3 linked regions of the Nothobranchius furzeri genome follow. The main gene of each other region encodes a partner of the protein of the gene in region 2 in a complex. Links are inferred from orthologs where the notes say so. Each region holds a gene or a part of one and is shown on either strand. Other genes may lie near its edges.

Region 1 (4,024 bases), on a different chromosome or scaffold from region 2:
TACTGAAATATTTGGAGGAACATGTTGGCTTTTTGGAAATCTGTACCAGTTAACGTATTTAGGATTTATCTGGTGTCTGGGTTTGGTTGAACTAATAGATTTGACTTTAAAAAGTGATGATGTGACCTCTGACCCTCTCATCACATCTATTCCACAGAAATAAAATTTCCTATTAATCTTGATTATAAATAGAAGCAACCTTGTTATTTATTTTAATACATCCGTCATAAATGATTTCTTATTTGGAGATCAATGTTGGTCATAATTTCTTTCTTCCTGGACTTCTTTGTTTCGTTGCCTCTCTGACACCAGCAGAAAAACAGAAAAGGAAATGATAACGGTGACGATTTGCCTTCGCGTGCTCCGCTTCGCCTCCTTTTGTCATTCAGATAACCTCATGAATATTTCACCCCTCTGATCCAGCGGCTGGAGGAAAGCGAGGGGCTGGAGCGGTCAGGGTGTGGGGTAGCTCTGGTCTGAGTGTCGACCTGTGTGAGGATGACAGTCTGGATTATTCGGCTGTCTTCTCTTTAGTCCTTCTGCCCTTGAAAGGACGAGTGTGTGTAACAGCTTCAGCTTTCTGCATTTTTATAGATAATAACATCAGCGAAGCAGGAGATCCGGGCAGGGTTGAGTGTGATTGCTGGTGTCATACAGAGTCACCTTGCTGCCCTGGCACTGGGTGAGGGGTGAAAACCAGTGAGGTGACTGGGGGACATGCTCCCAACTTACCAGTGCAGCCCTCCTGAGTAAGTTAGTGTGTGAAGCTCTCCATCATGTGGCGACTTAATGAGATGCAGCGTGGCCCCTTTAAGACTCCATCTTTTTTTGAGAATGGGCCCAGAGTCAGGGTTCTGTGTGTGCTGACCGTGGCCTCTGATGGTCTGGGGGGTGGAGGGTGTCTTGTTTTAGACCAAACCTCTCTGCAACGCATGCCCTTATCTACCAATGGAATGCAACAGCTGTGTGGGGGGAGCGGCAGGGTGGGCTGGCTGAAACCCCCCTGCCAGACCCCTGCATGGCTTCTCCCCCTCCACACACACACACACCACCCTACTCCACCTCCAAGCGAGCGACGTGCCGGGCTTCTGAAAGGCAGCACAACTCAAAAGTGATCCAGACACACAGAGAGCGGCTCGGCGGGGCTGCTACACGCTGAGGGGGAGAGAGAGAGAGAGGGGGGGGGGAGGAAAAAAGGGAGAGGGAGGGAAGAGGGAGAAGGAGAGTCAGGGACAAGCAGTGCTGAAAAGGAGAGCACAAAGAGAAGGAAAGTGGAGCAGGGGAGGGGAACAGGAGGCTGGGTGAAGGGAGAGGGAAAGACAAAAGAAGGAGAGGGGAGACAGGACTGAGCAAATGGCTACGGAGGAGACGGCGGGGGGAGCCAGGAAAGCCACCAAGAGCAAACTGTTTGAGTTCCTGGTCCATGGAGTGGTGAGTGGCGCTGTCTGTCATTCCCATGTAGAGGAGCCGAGCTCTGGCATGCATCTGTGTGTGTGATGGTGTGGATGAGTCGGTGGAGCAGCGTGTGTGTGTGTGTGTGTGTGTGTGTGTGTGTGTGTGTGTGTTATAGCTGGGTAAAAGCTGGCCATGTGAAGGATATTTCCAGCCCCTCTGATCCGTCAGGAGATGGCTTGAGGAGGATGAGAAGTGGAGCAGCATGAATGGATGGCTCTGAGCGGGAGGGAGGATTTCTACACATGAATAATTGTAGAAACAGAAGCTAAGGCAGCAGCAGCTCCTCCTTTTGCTAACATGAGGAGGGAAATGACGAGGTCCTTCCAGAAGGCGAGATGCTGGCTTCAACCTGTGAGGTCATCAGATGGAGTCAGAGCAGACGGCTGATCCTGGAGATCACACCGAACAATCAGATCCTTCATGTAACACCAGCTCGGCTAGAGGTTAGGCAGCTGTGAGCTGACACATGGGGCAGGTTTGTTTTGGTCGACTTCACCTCATCTCCAACATTTATGGCAGCTTAAACCACTCCTGACCTCAAACCAGACAACATATTCTTATTTCCACATAAAATAAAGGATCTAACCAGGCGCATTTATTACATTTTGTGATACAGATTATAAAAAACTCTGATATTTGCCAATTAAGTGAATAAATAATGAATTAACTGGCAAGAAAGTATGAGAAGATCCTCAGGAAGCAACAAACTTAATATTATTGTTGTTGCTGCAGATAAATGATGGATTTAATGCTGTTACGGTCAAAGAAGGCATGTGAAGCATTTCTGTGTGATGGTGGTGAGCCTCAGCTACCAAAACACCAAATCCTGACTCAATAACTGAAAACAGCTGAGTTTGAGGCGTTGATGCGTTTTGGCTGTGGCGGCCATCTTGAATCAAGGTGACTCCAGAAGTTAATTAGCTGAAGATGTTCTTCTAATGAGAGTTGGATTCAAATCCATCCAGTTTGGGATTATTCTGTTTATTACCAACGCAAACCGGATGATTGAACAGTTTTCAAGACTCCTGTTAGAAGTTGAACTGGTTTAAACTGGTGAAATGGGAAATGGGCACAATCTTCCAATTCCATGTTAGGAATGATTCAAATAATGACCATTTCAAGCTTGAATTGTTTAAAAAAACACTCAAAATTTATAGAAACATCATAAAGTTATTGTAAAGCTTCATCTAAAGTTTAGTTTGAATCATTTGCTGTGCTTAATTGAAATATGCACTGATAATCTACATTATTTAATAAGATTTTTACAGGATCTGATGGTTTTCTCTAATGAAACGGTGAAAAACCGTCTCGTATCCATCGTAAAGGCTCTAGGTGATACTTTTATGCTTTAATCTGTGAAGTTTTCTGACTCGGTTTGGGTTTTAATCCACGCTTGGTTGATTAATACTCTGAAACCAGATGAGATGTGGTGTCTTTGACAGGAACAGTCATTAAAAGGGGTCTGGGTGGCGAAGTCCCGCGCTCGCAGACACATTTTAGGAAACAACGGAGCAGGTGATTGATGAGCCAGATGAATCCGTCCTCTCAACAGACCAATTAACCTTGATGAGTCTCTGGCTGCTCTAAGCCAAATATTTCTCTCTGCTTGTTTTCTCCTCTCCCCTTTCATCCTCGTTTCTTCCCTCATATTTGATGGAAACATCTTGTTTTTATGCAGAAATATTTATACTAAAAGATGTGGGATCTGGCTCAGTGTGTCAGCTTGTGGTGGACGATGATATTTTCTTTCCTTTAGTGGGGAAATGTAAGAAGAAAATGGCTTTTTGATGCAGAAAACTTGCTAAAACTGCAGCCTGTGGTTCTTATGCAGTTTCTCCACTGAGGGACTAATAAAGGTGTTCTTATTCTTATTCTTATGGGTCATTATCTCCTCTATGTCCCATCTCGTGTCTGTGGACGTACGGTTGGAGGAAAATCCTCCGTGAGAAAACCAAAGATAAGCCAACACGTGAAGTGGCACACTGTAGCTATGTTGTCTGCAAAATGTTGCACAATTTGTGCAAAAGTGAACACAGACTTGATTTTTCTCCCACGTTAGTCGTTCTTTAAAGGAAAAGTTCCCACAAGGGGAGTTTCTTCCATGTTTCTGGAGTTTTGGGGTAATCAACGTCTGAAAGATGCAAAAGATCTTTTTATTCTGGGTGATTATTTTTTTAAAGCCGTCGTCACGGTGATCTGGTCAGCAGCCATGATGACATCTTTCTGTTTCTTCAAATAATTAAATATTTGAATCATAAAATCAAACAAAAGTAAACACAAGCAAATCTAAAATGCTCATTAAACCAGATTTATTCTGCTGTTTACATGTGTTCAACTTTTAGAAATTCATTTATATAATAATAATATACAATAGAATATCAAAATAATTTCAATCAAATTAAATTAGTTTATCATTGTAATCTATCATTATTTATGAATATCTAGTCAAACAAAAATATTTATGAGAAATAACTAAGATTTAAGAAATTATAAGGTTTGTTTTATTTACTTAAATATTCTGATAGTAAATATTTAATATAAAATATTTAAATACAAAGTCAAATAACAT
Region 2 (3,511 bases):
GGGTTGTGGGTGTCGAGTATGTTAGAAAGCCGTCATCGGTACGCGTGTGAAGCTAAGAGGCACATACAACATGCCCGAATACATGATGCATCAGGTGGGAAGAGCAGTAAACACAACATCTGCTTCTCCTTTCAAGCAAACTTTCAGAGCAAAATGTAAAGCTGAATAAATTATAAAAGGGGAAAGATATAAGAGCAACACCGACGTCTGAGTTTCCTGCTCTTCCTGCCAAAACAGACATTAATTAAATACACGAAGAAGGAAATATAAAATTAAATAACGGAGTAAATAAAGATAAACAAATATATGTTGTAAATGTGGTGAGAAGCTCGGTCATGCGGGAGGGGCTCGGAGTAGAGCCGCTGCTCCTCCGCATAAAAGAGGAGCCAGTTGAGGTGGCTCGGGCATCTGGTCAGGATGCCTCCTGGACGCCTCCCCGGTAAGGTTTTCCGGGCACGCCCAACCGGGAGGAGGGCTAAAGGAAGACCCAGGACACGCTGGAGGGACTATGTCTCTCACCAGGCCAGGGAACGCCTTGGGATTCCCCGGAGGAGCTGGCCCAAGAGACTGGGAGAGGGAAGTGTGGGCCTCTCGACTTAGGCTGCTGCCCCCGCGACCCGACCCCGGATAAGCGGACGGATGTTGCAATTATTTCCACATTTCCCTCTCGCATTTATGCTAGTGAGGCGGGCGTTTCCACCTCTGGCCATAACATGATTGGTCAGCTTTGAGAAACTGAAATTCCCACAAACTTCCTGGTTCCGTTCTGGGAATTTTCACAGGAAACCAAAAGCACCTACAAGCTTTTCTGTACATGAGCCTGAAATGATGCAGCAAAGCCGGCGTTGACTCGCAGCGTTCCCCGCCTCGCTCTCTCGACTTCCAGCGCTCGTGCCTGACTCCAGGTGCGGAAATAAATAATTACAACATTTATTTATTTTTCTTTTGTTTTCATCCTGTCAAACGAATCACTGGAGCCGCTAAAGCTGGTTAAACATTTCTGTGGCTCTGCCGGTTTCCGTCTGATGTTTCTAGTGATTTGTGAGGAAAATCGGTCCCTCTGGGGGAGATTAAACAGTGAGCCGTTACCCGCTCTCCGGTCATGGCGAACGGGGCGTTGAACCACTGCTCAAAGGTGCTGCAGCTCTTGAAGATGGTGGGCAGCAGGAAGTTGAGCAAGGCCCAGAGTTCAGGAAGCTTGTTCTGCAGCGGCGTTCCGGTCAGGAGGAGGCGGCGTGGAGCCACGTAGTGTGTGTTCAACACCTGGGTCAGCTTACAGTGGTGGTTCTTCATACGATGGCCCTCGTCCACGATCATGTACTTCCAACGGATCTGGAGTGAAAACACAAACTAGCTAAACCCTCAGGGTCAAACCAGGACGAGCTCCAAAGACTCCAGTCTTGATCCTCAAATGAAAACAACTTTGAATTTTATCCAAAGTTTCTTCATTTGTATGTTTTTCCATTCCGTATAAAAATGATCTCAGCTCCTCGTTGAACACGATCACAGCAGGAGGGAGAAAAACAAACTCAGATGTTGCACAAAAGTCAATAAAAGTTTTAAACACATTTCATCACCGTACAGCTGCTGAAATCAGCTTTAAACCGCTTTTCACCGACTAAGAACCAGATAATCATCGTTCTGCTTTAAATTACAGAAGATAAGTTCAGCTGCTTTCATTTCCTACAGTTTAGTTGACCTTTAAAGCATCTGCAGACGACACGACGCGGCCGTAAGCGAGACTAAATTGGATCCAACGTTCTGTAGGTCATTCGTATTTAGCTCATGGCGGAGAAAACTCGCTACCAAAGGTTTCGTTTAGGAGAAAGTAAGTAATAGGGCTGAGCGAGTACACCACTATCTGTATGTGTACGTGGTGTGGGCGTGGCCTAACCCGGAAGTGGGTGTGGTTTACATTAATACATTGTTTTAAGTCTGAAATTGATATGGATTGATCAGAAGTTGCTATGAGTATTGTTTATTTGAAAAGTATTTACAGAACAGCCTCAGAATTGATATTAAATATTTTTGATTGCAATAGTAAAGGAACAATTTTTTCAATAAAATCAGAACATTAATATTTAAGTGCATGAATTAATGCAGAGAGAGAGAGAGAGAGAGAGAGAGAGAGAGAGAGAGAGAGAGAGAGAGAGAGAGAGAGAGAGAGAGAGAGAGAGAGAGAGAGAGAGAGAGAGAGAGAGAGAGAGAGAGAGAGAGAGAGAGAGAGAGAGAGAGAGAGAGAGAGAGAGAGAGAGAGAGAGAGAGAGAGAGAGAGAGAGAGAGAGAGAGAGAGAGAGAGAGAGAGAGAGAGAGAGAGAGAGAGAGAGAGACAGAGAGAGAGACAGAGAGAGACAGAGAGACAGAGAGAGAGAGAGAGAGAGAGACAGAGAGAGACAGAGAGAGAGACAGAGACAGACCCAGCGGAGCGGAGGCAGTGACCGACGCAGCACGAGCTGTCTGTCTAGTCAAATGCACCACGTGCGTTACAAAAAAAATGAACTTTAAATATTAAACCGAGCTGAAGAAAACCTAGGGAGCTCTGAAGAAACGTGAGCATTAGTAAAGCAAGCAGCGAGATCCGTTATTGTCTGTGTGTGTGTGTGTGTGTGGATGCATGGGCCAGACTGAGCTCCCGGCTGCAGAGTTTTGTGTGTAGGGAGGGGCGGGCGCTCTATGTGACTGGCCAATCACAGAGCGTGAAGACAGTCAGTTATCCAATGAGGATTTTCCTTCAGCACCATTACAGATATTTACGAGTTTTACTTGTTTCATGCTCGTATTCGTCAAAAATGCTTTATCCATAACGGATACGCGTCTGAAACGAGTATCCGGCTCATCCCTAGTAAGTATTGATTGTAATATAGAACTTTGCTCATTTGCTTTGATTAAATCTGAAGAAAATCAGTTAGTTCGCCCAAACCAAAGCTCAAACAATGAAAACCGATAATAGAAGTACTGATGAGGCGTGTGAGCAGACCCTCCTTCACCTTGGCCAGGATGTGCTTGTCCTTGATGATGTATTCGTAGGTGGTCAGTAGGACGTTAAACTTCCCGCTGCGGAGCTGCGGCACAAGTCCACGGCGCAAACCCGGAGTACCCTGGAACGGGAGGAAAACACACAGCTGTGTGGGGAAAAACTATCAGGATGAAATAAACAAACAGAAGATTCGCTTTACCTTGTAAGCTATTTTGACCACAGAAGGAGCCCATTTATCCAGCTCATAGACCCAGTTAGACATAGTCCTAGAGAAGACACAAACGCATCACAGGAGGAGTTGTTTACATGTTTGTGGACTGAATTCAGAGCAGTTCTCTTCTAAAGGATGAGGCTTCTGTTACCCGGGGAAGAACTCATCCAGAACACGTAGACACAGGAAGGAAAGGAAGGAGCTATTAAAAGAGCAAGTCACTCCAAATCAACATTATTTTGCTACTCGTGCTGTAGACAAATGTAGTCAATAATTCGGCACTTTAGTGCATCTTAGTTAAAATTTAAGTATTCGGCCTAAAA
Region 3 (4,249 bases), on a different chromosome or scaffold from region 2:
TATTTTGGGCCAGCCGTATTGCTGTAGTATGATGGCATCATCGGCAGACGCAGGACCCCGAGCAGAAACAACAGCACCAGAAAACTACAATCAACATTACATTCTCCTGATGGAATTACCTGAAGGACCATCAAAATCGAAGGCATCATGCCGAGGTCGCATGCTTTCTGCTCCACAGGTAACAACATTTACCGTTCTGGTTTTTTTTTTAAACTAGCGACAGTCACGGCGATAAGCTGTCAAACTACCGTGAAATGTATGTACTGCCCCCTAGCGCCAGGAGACTACACACTGCTGCTTTATATCCAAGATTCAATCTTTGATATTTTATAGCAAGTCGAGCAACATTATTTTATCAACATCACATTACAGTTAATTTTGTATAATACAGTTACTTAAGAAAGCAATATAAAAAAAACAGTCAGTATTTGGTGTAGTCACCATGTGCCTCATGCAGTTCAACACATCTCCGTTGGAGTTGATCAGGTTGTTGAATGTGGCCTGTGAATTGTTGGTCCACCCCACTTCAATAGCTGTTCAAGGTTGCTAAATTTTGTCAAGAACTGGTTGTATACAAATGTGCTTGATGGGTGGCACATCCAGTCAAGCAAGAACTGGGATCTTTTCATCTTTCAGGAACTGTGCACAGAACCTTGCTAGACGGAGCCGTGCATTATCATGCTGCAAAATGAGTTGATGGCCGTGGTTGAACTGCGCAACATTGAGCTTCAGGATCTCATCACGGTATCGCTGTGTGTTCAATATCCCATCAATAAAATGCACCTGTACTTGTTTTCCATAACATATGCCTGCCCATAACCTCACCGCCACCATGGGCCACTCGATTCATCATCCTCGTCGTCATCGTCTTCCTCTGCTTATCCAGGTCCGGGTTGCGGGGGCAGCATCCCAACTAGGGAGCTCCAGACCGTCCTCTCCCCGGCCACCTCCACCAGCTCCTCCGGCAGGACCCCAAGGCGTTCCCGGACCAGATTGGAGATTTAACCTCTCCAACGTGTCCTGGGTCGACCCGGGGAACTCCTGCCGGCAGGACATGCCCGAAACACCTCCCCAGGGAGGCGTCCAGGAGGCATCCTGACCAGATGCCCAAACCACCTCAACTGACTCCTTTCGATCCGGAGGAGCAGCGGTTCTACTCCGAGTCCCTCCCGAATGTCCGAGCTCCTCACCCTATCTCTAAGGCTGAGCCCGGCCACCCTACGGAGGAAACTCATTTCGGCCGCTTGTATCCGCGATCTCGTTCTTTCGGTCATTACCCAAAGCTCATGACCATAGGTGAGGATTGGGACGTAGATGGACCGGTAAATCGAGAGCCTGGCTTTCTGGCTCAGCTCCCTCTTCACCACGACAGATCGGCTCAGCGTCCGCATCACTGCAGACGCCGAACCAATCCGCCTGTCGATCTCCCGATCCCTCCTACCCTCACTCGTGAACAAGACCCTGAGATACTTAAACTCCTCCACTTGAGGTAGGACCTCTCTCCCGACCCGGAGTTGGCAAGCCACCCTCACATCAGTCCTGAAGAATGTAATTTCTCTAAACTGAGATTGTTTCGGAAGACTTTTACATTGAGTAAGACGGATATATTTATAACAAAAAAACACTTTAAAGTTGCTAAAATACCCCTTAAAAATGTAAAGTCAATTCTAAATGTATTTTAATACTTTGACTTAAAAAGTGCTTATCTTTTTCTGCAAATATTAGATCTGATGCACACAAATAACAGATGGGGACCCCCATCCGTACTCCTTCATCAGCTCCTAACTTGTGCCTTTCTCTTAACAGATAGACCCACAGGAGAATACTGGGACACTGTTAATCTCCTGCTTGACAGGCACAACCGCAAACAAAAGCTAACGCGTACACTCACTACATCCTAATCTGTTTTGATGGAAAACAACAGCTTAAAGCATTTTTTCCCTTTTTTTCCAACAAAGAGCTTTAGATAACAACGTGTATTATTTGGAACACATTTACCCAGAAAGGTCATGCTGAAGGTTTTAAAAGAAGTGGCGCAGAATTGGATTACGGTTCCTATAACAAAACCTAGAATTCTTACACACACACGAGCTATCACTGAGACACATGACACATGGCAACCTTTTCTAGAGGGGAGAAAAAGCAAATTAAGACTTATAGATTTCCAAATCATACAATATGGTTGTGTTGCCATTTTCTGACAATATGTGTTTAATATTGGTGCAGATTTCCTCTACATGCACGGCCGTGTTTTAATCTGCTCCTGTGAGTATACTGTGCACGCATTTGAAATAAGTGCCCGTGCGCGCGCCAGTTGTGATGTCATTTGCATCAAAATTTTCATCGCTATTAGGGATTCCCCGATGCAAACTTTTACCAGTCGCTTCTTTTTTGCGTGAAACTTTCTTCATATGCGAAACCAACTGCACAACGAGACTGGATGTCTAAAGAGTGTGCTTTTTTTCTACAACGTGCATGCTTTTATGTGAGGATCTTTGCACAACAGCGCGCAGCGATACCTGATTATAACAGACAGTCCGAGTGCAGATGAAAGGCTGCGTTTATGATTCCTATCATTAAAAAAACACATGGAAAAGGAACCGTTGTGTCTGCAGCTGCTCGACTAAGATTTAAAAAAGGATAAAAGAAATACACTTACGATTTTAATGGATTATGAATGACAGTCGCCATCTTTCTGCAGAACTGTAATGCAATATTCCAAATCTGTGTGCAGTTTGGGACCCTTCTTAAAAAAAAGAAAAAAGGAAAAAACGACAGCCAATGCGGTCCTCTGCTCTTTCTAATACAACAGAAGCATCAACACATGAGGCGTGGCTTCAGTGAAATATGTCAACATACTCTGCACTGGAATCATTCCACTCAAATAATTAGATTTAGTTATAAAACAGCTGTCTAAAAGTTTATGAGTTGTACGCCATTACCAGATGTTCTTAATATTTCTACAATTTTTTATCTTTTTGTTTGAACATTTGAGCATTATTTGTCCTAATTTACATTACATACTACCAATGGGTATAAATCACGAAGTTCGTGATCAAAGTTATTAATTTCTGTGATTTGTTTGTTTTTAATGTTCAACATCATTAATCATTTCGTAGAGGACGCGTATGCTACATTTAATGTCCACCGGAATTAAATGTAGCCTTCAACGCACAATTATTGTTTCTTGGAACCACGTGACGGGCTCAGAGTTGTTTCTTGTGCTCAGCTGTTAAAAATAAATGCTCAGTTACTTTAATTGAAGATTATTTTCAAATCAATAAAAGCGCAACAATATAGTAAAACTATTATTTATACAATTTCAATATTATTTTCTCTTACTTTTCAGATTAATATGGATTTTCGTATTAAAGTAGAACATGGTGGATGACAAATCAAAATTATAATTACCGTATTGATAATTGTTTCGGCTTTTCAGTGATTTTTGTTTATTGTTGATTGAAAATTCAAATGTCCCACATGATCTTAAATGCAGCAACCAATGAACGTATCTTACGTCCGAAAATTGTTGTTGAAAAAATTTACCAATGATAAGTTCGAAAGGCGGGACTATGTAAAATGACGTGACGTTGCGTTTGTGAACAGTTGGTAAGTCAGCATTCGCTCTTTCATATTTGTCTGCTTAATTATTGAGCAACCTTAAATACTTTGATGACTTTTGATAAAGTAAAATATTAAACCTGAAGTACAAACAGTTTTGTCTCACTTTGCCCACGGAACGACTTGCCCATTGAACGCGTCAGTACAAGTAGCATTTTCCTTTTTCCGAGGTACATCGAATGCCGCATTACCGTAAACCAAGTAGCTCAAGAGAGTTTAAAAATTAAGTCATAATTAGTACTTTATTCTGAATTATGTTTGTTCATCGTCACTAGGATTAATTTGCTGTTTTAAACCTTTGTTGTATGCAACGTTTTTGAAGTCCAGCTACATTAGCAAACGTGTCGCTAGCTCTAATGCTAACGTTGCTAACTTAGCTAACAAGTAATCACGTCGTGAACAGAAAGCGTGATGTGACAACCTTCACTGTTGGAGCCAAGAAAAAAAAAGGATGAAGAAACGAAACTGGCCACAAAGTCGTCGCTACGGACGGTACATAAACGACCGTGAAAGATCTGCTGGCGACGAACAGTGTGTACAATATAAACATCCATAGTGTTCCTGAAAGTGTGCTATCAGGAATTATGTAGCTTTGTTGTGTTCTGTGTACAGGTATGGACTCAATGAT

What was found.
Region 1: smarca2 (region 2) and smarcd3b share a complex: the UniProt entries of both Homo sapiens proteins name them as parts of the BAF complex. The link is inferred for Nothobranchius furzeri from reciprocal best matches to the Homo sapiens genes SMARCA2 and SMARCD3.
Region 3: smarca2 (region 2) and dpf3 share a complex: the UniProt entries of both Homo sapiens proteins name them as parts of the BAF complex. The link is inferred for Nothobranchius furzeri from reciprocal best matches to the Homo sapiens genes SMARCA2 and DPF3.

What each region holds. Positions count from the first base shown.
Region 1 is NC_091747.1:45,543,160-45,547,183, reverse strand, and holds the start of smarcd3b (SWI/SNF-related matrix-associated actin-dependent regulator of chromatin subfamily D member 3b), read left to right. Parts: upstream 1-1,218; 5' UTR 1,219-1,353; coding exon 1,354-1,431; intron 1,432-4,024. UniProt on the Homo sapiens protein: Involved in transcriptional activation and repression of select genes by chromatin remodeling (alteration of DNA-nucleosome topology).
Region 2 is NC_091750.1:37,858,838-37,862,348, reverse strand, and holds part of smarca2 (probable global transcription activator SNF2L2), read right to left. Parts: intron 3,244-3,511; coding exon 3,177-3,243; intron 3,099-3,176; coding exon 2,988-3,098; intron 1,333-2,987; coding exon 1,090-1,332; intron 1-1,089. UniProt on the Homo sapiens protein: ATPase involved in transcriptional activation and repression of select genes by chromatin remodeling (alteration of DNA-nucleosome topology).
Region 3 is NC_091742.1:25,606,826-25,611,074, reverse strand, and holds the start of dpf3 (zinc finger protein DPF3), read right to left. Parts: upstream 2,807-4,249; 5' UTR 2,692-2,806; coding exon 2,660-2,691; intron 1-2,659. Other genes in the region: wdr21 (WD repeat domain 21), read left to right, coding at 4,073-4,152, 4,234-4,249. UniProt on the Homo sapiens protein: Belongs to the neuron-specific chromatin remodeling complex (nBAF complex).